2 linked regions of the Arabidopsis thaliana genome follow. The protein of the gene in region 2 interacts with the protein of the main gene of each other region in a biochemical or structural test. Each region holds a gene or a part of one and is shown on either strand. Other genes may lie near its edges. The genes, in order: SULTR1;2 and OASA1.

Region 1 (3,928 bases), on a different chromosome or scaffold from region 2:
ATTATGCATGATGACCTTTATCTAAAAGGCAAATTCTACGTGTGGCCGCGTCCATCAACTGTGCCTTCAGAACTTTATTTATAAAATATAGTTATAGATTATTCTATAGAATCATGAGTTAACAAATACTAAAAACATGTGAATAAAGTTGGTTTAGATCCGAACAAAACATAACATTTCTAAGAATTTTGGTTGCTGCGTTTAAATTTAGTCATAAAGACCACTTCACATTATTTTACCTCTATAAAATACTTTAAATTAAAACTTCTTTTTGTCCCTTAACAAAAATTTAAAAATAAAATAAGAAACTACTTTTTGTCAGCGTTTGCGATGGCAAACTTATGATGTAGTATATGTTTTGATATTTTACATGCAAATGTTACATTACTTGGTACTTGATGTCGAACAACCAATCAAAATAATTTTTATAAACTTTATTCATCGGTACAAAACGATAAACTATTTAATAAATAAAAAAATCTTTATAGACGAGAGTTCTAACCAACCAAGCTAACATACTCATACGTACATAATATTGTTTTTGTCAAACATAATCGTGACTAATTTACAGATTGAAATGCATATACTATGATTAAAATTCATGTATAGAAACTGAACGGTTGACTAGATAAATATATTACCCATTTTTAGGCGGCACCTGAAAATTTTTAGTCGATTATATGCCCCCGACAAATTTGAAACGTTTGGTCTCTCATAATATAAGAAACCGATCGATTATTTTATTTTTCTGGTTGGTACGGATTTGTTCTTTTCGCAATTTCTAACATGGTTATCACAATTCTTAATCATCTTCGTTGAATGCTTCGTAGGATGTTATAGAACATTATTAATACCGGTATATATAAATAATCTTAAGTATGGTTATTTTTAAATAGAATGCATTTTTTTAATATGATCTAAAATAGCGTACAATATCTAAATATATTTATGTAAAATTGCTATAAAATAATGGTTTATAATGTCAAACGAAGATGACTAAGAATTAGCTAAGAATAAACATGCAAACGATTATGATAAATTAGTTTATCTGTATAAAATCAGCAAGTATTGTCGTTTCGAAAACTTATGGGTCAGGAGGTTCTACAATTACGAAATCTCTTTTAGTCTTAGTAATATTTATTGGTAAGTCTCACATGCAAAGCTCTACTATATACCAAACAAAACAAGCAAAAGTTTTAAAAGAAACGTTTAGATTCCTCTGTAGTCTGTGACCCAAAATTGTATATCGTTTAATGCAATAAACGTAATTAAGCTCTCGTATACTTCAAATGCCCAAATATCATTTCAAGTCAGCCTAAAACTATACCAAATTTTGAAGTTCGACCCTAAACGTATATATTTAAAAACTCAATTTCAATTTTTCACATCGTAGAAAGTTTGTGTAGCTAGAGAAACATGTTAATATATATAGTTTCGAATTCATCGGATATATATTTAAGTGTAGTTGGTCCTACATCCCAATATCCCATGATGTTTTTTTGGTAGTTCGGTTTCTCAAGTTGGTTGGTACTTGGTTCGGTTTCTCAACTTGGCCCATGATATGAAGCATATAATATGCATACATACATCTACATTTTCTTTTTTAAAGTGTTACATTCACAAATTTACAAATCGAAACTTGTTATAATATGCATACATATGCAAAACATAATGTGTTACCGACTTCAATCGTGGGTACGTATTTTTGAGATTGATGATAACGTATAATACATATCTAAACAGATTATAACAGCTGTTTAGGACATTCAGTTTAATACCCAAAAAAAAAAAAAAGAAACAACGACAAAATAGTTGACGAATATACATTTAAAAAAAAAAAATTATAGTAAGATAGTGTGTGGCTGGCCGTGAACCAACATGGAGAACAAATAGCTCGTAGCCACCAAAGCACTATCTAGCGCGTAGCGAACACGTAGTCAATGGCTAATTGTACCAAAGACGAACCTAGCCACATTATAGTCCACGTTCAAACGAGGCCCACCAGTTTCTATAAAAGTCAACTTCACCCCCCAAAAAAAACGCTCCTAACTTTTGACCTTTTCGCTTTTCTTGATTTGGAGCCAGTGGCATTGTCGTAAAATCATTTGATCTAACCGCTTTGATGTTCTTGCTTAGTTTCCATTACTTCTGTCATTATCACCTTTATATTTTTTTCTCCTAAAAAAGCCAAATATTCGTAATCACGATCTTTATCTCTTATAATTTAATGTTTATTCCAATTTAAAACATTAAATTTATAAAAGCTCAGATCTATATTTCTTTTTCCCCTCACTTTTGTTAAATAATTTTTTTTATCTCTTGTTTATCTTTCTTGAATTTTTTTCCAGTTTGAAGCAAAATCTATTTTCTCTGTAAATTTTGTACTTTTCTCACAAAATACTAGGGTTTTCGTTTTGTATTTTGATGAGAGAGTGATTCAGTGAACCGGGACATGATTCAGGTTTACTGATTTTACTGTTTTAAAACTTTAGAAAAGAATAGTGAACATGAACAATCTGGTGTTCTAAAATCTAAAAAGGGGAGGCTTTTAACTAATATCTCTCGTGTACTTTTTCTCTAATTCTTAAATCGTTCTCTCTTTTCTGTTTCTACTTTTTAAGATCCCTTTTCGCTTTAATAAATTAAAATAAATCACGTAAAAGGTCTAATTTGGAGGAAAAAGGCTAAAAAGCGAGATCGAATTCTTCTTCTTCTTTTTCCAGGTAAGTGGGTGTTTCACCTTCCAACTATCAATGGCTATGCATAACACCAATTAATTTATTTTGAAACCTCTCATTTATAGAATACACGTGCATATAATGTTTAATCATCTTCTTCTTTTTTGGTGAAAATAGTATAATACTAGTTGATTCCTTTTTCAATTGTGTTTTTGTCTATGTGTATAGATATCAGATTAATCACCCAATTTTATAACTGGCAATTATACAATAATGAATAGAACTAGGAAAATGTTGAAGAGGTATCGTCTGGTGTAGGAGTTTACGATTACAGCGTCTCTTCGATCGGTAGAATATTAATTAACTCACTATCAATCATGCATACTTGTCTACATTACAAAGTCAACACATGTGGTGCTCACTTTGGCTCCAGCAAAAACTGATTACAATATTTGTGTTTTAAAGTATATAAAAATTAGTCAGAAAAGAGAATCGTATTATTTTTTATAGCTTTTTGTGATCGAAATTGGCTTATGTGACAGAAAAACGCCGGTTAATTCCTTAGAAAAACTTAGGTTGAAAATGAATTGCGGCTAGTTTTTATAATAATCATGTCATTGTCCATCAACTTGCACAAGTTAAAGCTTTTGTCTAAAAAATGGGTGATTTAAAATGTTGGTTTAATGCATTCTAATGAACAAGTCAATATGCTGGTATTGACAGAACATCTACATAGAGTTTGGACAAGAGATCAAGTCCCAATTAGAACCACCAAAAAAGAACATATGAATTAGGTTTTATATAATAGCCTTTTAGGTATTCTTTCCAAATTTCTGTTCAGTTAGGTTTGTTTTCTAAGTTTTCTTAAGTCCTTTTCTAAAGTTTATGTCCAACCCAAAACGATGATAAAAAAATCCAGAAATCAAATGTTAATTAATAAGGTTCTCTTCGTCTACTCTTAGCTAAAATTAAATTATTTTATAAAAAAAAAAACGAAAGGATATGATTAACGTTAGTTCTTCCTCGTTTATTGAGGGATAACTGTTGCATTTTTAAAAAATCTCACTATGTGCCACGTGGCTATTCTGGTCAACTATCTCTCCTTATAGCAAAAAAGTAAACGAGATCATTGAATTGAGATTGTTTTCAGTATTGCACACAAAGTTTGCCACAGAAACCATTGACTTAATTTGTTTAAACTTTAATGTCGATCAACGCCAATTAAAAATTGCATCTTTTCTAGTTAGACT
Region 2 (3,928 bases):
ATAAGACATGAGGCAAACCGAGAAACGAGGAACATGCATGCATGGTTATCGTAATAAACGCAGGGGGAACCAAAATCACCTGGCTTCCCACCGGATAGAATAGCACTTTCAACTGGCTCCACTCCATACAGCTAACAGAAGAGGAAACAAAATGAGAAACCGTGCAAAGACACACCACTTAGTCACTTAGATAACAAAGCCAGTTGTTCGAAAAGATGGAGCTCTCACCTTGACGTTTGCGTTCTGTTCTTTAAGATACTTCCCAGCACCTGTAATGGTACCACCAGTACCAATCCCAGAAACAAAGCCATCGATTTTGCCACCAGTGCCTTTCCATATCTCAGGTCCCGTAGTCTCATAGTGGATCTGCATTTGACAGTGAAATTCCATCGACTTAATATGGTTCAAAAACAGACAAAAACAGATACACTAAAGCAATAGTAAATAATAAGCATACCTTAGGGTTGGCAGGGTTCTCAAACTGCTGAAGCATGTAACCATTGGGTGTTTTCGCCAAAATCTCTTCCGCCTTTGCGATAGCTCCTTTCATGCCCTTAGCTGGGTCAGTTAAAACCAACTCAACTCCAAAAGCTAAGAGAATGATTCTTCTCTCAGTACTCATAGAAGCTGGCATTGTAATAATAAGCTTGTAGCCTTTGGCAGCTGCCGTGAATGCTAACCCAACTCCAGTGTTTCCACTTGTTGGCTCAATCAGCACACTCTAAAGAACAAACAAAAAGTCAGAAACAATGAAAACAAAAACAAAATAGTGGTTTGAAGATTCAGATAATCGAAACTGACCTCTCCTGGTTTGATAAGACCCTTCTTTTCTGCATCAGAAATCATGCTAAAACCAATCCTGCAGAAATAAACAAAGTACAAGGTCTTCACAAAACCGAAACTCGAAGCGAGAAACAACACATAGTTTCTGGACTAGAGAAGAAACCTGTCTTTGACGCTAGAGCACGGTTCCATCATCTCAAGCTTAGCAGCAACACGACCAACACATCCTTCAGCAACATTGTTCAAATACACCAATGGAGTGTTCCCAATCAACTGCCAAATAGAATCAATCAATACATGAACATGGAACAAAGCTCACTCCTTCGTGAAATGAACAGTGAAAGAACTTGAAAGCCTTACTTCAGTCACATCTTTAGCAATTCTCGAGGCCATGATTCAAGCTTCACTGCTTAAATTCACAAAAAGAGAAAAGTAAGACCAAAGGAATAAATCATCCTCAAACCAAAAACACATCATACAAAATCATCAAACATAAATCTCCAGATGTATGAGCACCAATCCAGTTATACAACACTCTTAACACCAAATCAACAGATTTAACAGCGAAATAAGCTTAAGCCCATACAATTATCCGATCCAAACAAATATAATCGAAACCGGCAGAGGAATAAGCAAGTGAATCAAAAAGTATGGGACGAGGAAGAAGATGATACCTGAATGAGAAAGTCAATAACCTTGACCCGAATCGTTTTGAAGAAAATGGAGAAAATCGGTTGTATGGAATAAAATCTTCGAATGATGAGATATATGATCTCTTTGGTGTCAGTCACATGGCACACGCTATCAATTTAGAAAAACGCGGTGGTTGGTCACCAGAATTACTACTTCTCGGTCTGATTTGGTCATATCCGTATTAAGTCCGGTTAATATTTTCCATAACTGGGGTTTGAACATTCGGTTTCTTTTTTTCAGTTAGTCCGATTTGGAGTTTTGAGTATGGAAAAATAATACTGAATTTATTTGTTCAAACTGTTTTGGAAAAAATATTTCCCTTAATTACGAATATAATTAAAATTTTAAAATTCATTTTATTAGATCTTGGTTAATTCGGTTTAATGCATTAATGAATTTCGGTTTAAGTCGGTTTTCGGTTTTTATGTCCCACCACTATCTACAACCGATGATCAACCTTATCTCCGTATTCACCACAAACAGTCATCACTCTCACTTGACACAAAAACTCTTTTGTCTCCGTCTCTCTGTCTCTCATGGCGACTCTTCCTCTCCCGACTCAAACTTCTACAATCTCTCTCCCTAAACCTTATCTCTCCAATTCCTTCTCCTTCCCACTCCGTAACGCAACACTCTCAACAACAACAAACCGCCGGAACTTTCTCACCACCGGAAGGATCATAGCTCGGGCATATAAAGTGGTGGTAGAGCACGACGGAAAGACGACTGAATTGGAAGTCGAACCAGACGAGACGATTCTATCTAAGGCTCTTGACTCTGGCCTTGACGTTCCCTACGACTGCAATCTCGGTGTTTGTATGACTTGTCCAGCGAAACTCGTGACCGGAACGGTGGATCAAAGTGGTGGGATGCTAAGTGATGATGTGGTTGAACGTGGCTACACGCTTCTATGTGCTTCGTATCCAACTTCTGATTGTCACATTAAGATGATCCCTGAGGAAGAACTCTTGTCTCTCCAGCTCGCCACTGCCAACGACTAATCATCTTCTTGATTTAGACTAAAGAAGTCTTTTTTTTGGTGTAATACGAACACTTTGTAACGAATCTTGCTATGAGACTTCGAAATCTTGATTTCAATGAGCCAATACAAACAGTGATACATAACATAATCACAGTGAAACATTCCTGGTTTAAGATGAATCTATTAAGTACTGAACTAAATTCGTTGATTGAAACATTAGGAAAGTGAATAGATATGTATAATTTAGATTAATAAACACACAAGGGTAGACTAATTCAGAACCAGAAAGAGTGAGAGTGTTAGCTACAAATGATACGATATAAAAAAAGAGAGATTACAACAAAAACGAGGTAGAGACAAAACGTAGACACCAGAGATCAGTGGTTGGTTACTTACCATCTTCTTTTTTCCTTTGTCATTGTCTAATCAGTAGTAAGCATGCTGAATATGGTGGTGGTGGTGCGGGTGAGGATGGTAAACTGGAGGGGGTGGAGCAGCCACCGGACTGCAGTAGGTACCATATGCTGTCGGATAACTGACCGGAGAGGTTTGGTAAGAACCATGAACCGCCTCGGGTGAGTATTGGTATGGAGGGCTCCTGTTGCTGTAGATGGTAGGTGGGGATGTGGTGTATGCTGGTACACCGTATTGAGGTGAGTGACTTTGGGATCTGATGAATGTTGGTGGAGGCGGTGGGAAAGAGGAGACGTAAGCGTTTGTGATACGCCCTGCTTTGGCTGGTGGCATTGGACCGCTGTAGCTTGCTCGGGTTCTCTTGTTGGCGGGAATCACGGCTGGTTTTCTCTTCTCGGTTTTGGTCTTCTCTAGCTGATCCAACCTCTTCTTGAGATTCTCGGGTGGGAATTCTTCCTCGAGTTTGTATTCTTCTATGCATTTTAAGACTGCTCTAAGTGCTGATTGCTCTTTGCGCGCCACAAGATGCTAGAAAAATACACACATACATTGGTAAGCGAGTGCAGAAGAAACAGATCCCTGCAAATGGATCCAGCAAAGAAAACGAGTAACACAAATGGAGGAAAGTACCGCAGATCGGCCAGAATTGTTGGAATCATCAGTGATTAAAGCTGTAGCTTTCTTTGCATCCCTCAGATAAGCTTTGAGCAAAGGAACAGGAGGGAACAAGTGTACAAGACCAACTTCAAAAGTGAAATGAACCGCATCAAGCTGTTGTCCCCTGATTATCAACTCTTCAATCATATCTGTGTGAAGCCATAACAACCCAAAAACCATCATTTTCCATTTCAGATACTACTCACAGATTCCCATGACAAAAGACAACAACTTGTGCTTCCCCAATATATAGCTAAAAACATCTAATGGTAATCAAAGGTAAAGAAGAAAGATTACCAGGCATTTGGTCGCCCAAACCAACTGAAACAGCAAGCTTTGGCATCTGTTTACGCCAAGCTGAACCAACCACAAGTTTCCTATAAAGAGCTAGATCATCCT

The links.
Region 1: the proteins of OASA1 (region 2) and SULTR1;2 form a complex in vitro, tested with the Arabidopsis thaliana proteins (one study listed by BioGRID).

Annotation. Positions count from the first base shown.
Region 1 is NC_003070.9:29,325,660-29,329,587, forward strand, and holds the start of SULTR1;2 (sulfate transporter 1;2), read left to right. Parts: upstream 1-1,855; 5' UTR 1,856-2,723; intron 2,724-3,669; exon of another isoform or gene 3,670-3,928. UniProt on the Arabidopsis thaliana protein: High-affinity H(+)/sulfate cotransporter that mediates the uptake of the environmental sulfate by plant roots. Plays a central role in the regulation of sulfate assimilation. Unable to transport molybdate.
Region 2 is NC_003075.7:8,518,875-8,522,802, forward strand, and holds the start of OASA1 (O-acetylserine (thiol) lyase (OAS-TL)), read right to left. Parts: upstream 1,723-3,928; 5' UTR 1,458-1,722; exon of another isoform or gene 1,263-1,457; intron 1,193-1,262; exon of another isoform or gene 1,190-1,192; 5' UTR 1,177-1,189; coding exon 1,144-1,176; intron 1,057-1,143; coding exon 947-1,056; intron 860-946; coding exon 802-859; intron 722-801; coding exon 458-721; intron 367-457; coding exon 229-366; intron 132-228; coding exon 80-131; intron 1-79. Other genes in the region: FdC1 (2Fe-2S ferredoxin-like superfamily protein), read left to right, coding at 2,013-2,477; AT4G14900 (FRIGIDA-like protein), read right to left, coding at 2,885-3,400, 3,503-3,678, 3,827-3,928. UniProt on the Arabidopsis thaliana protein: Acts as a major cysteine synthase, probably involved in maintaining organic sulfur level.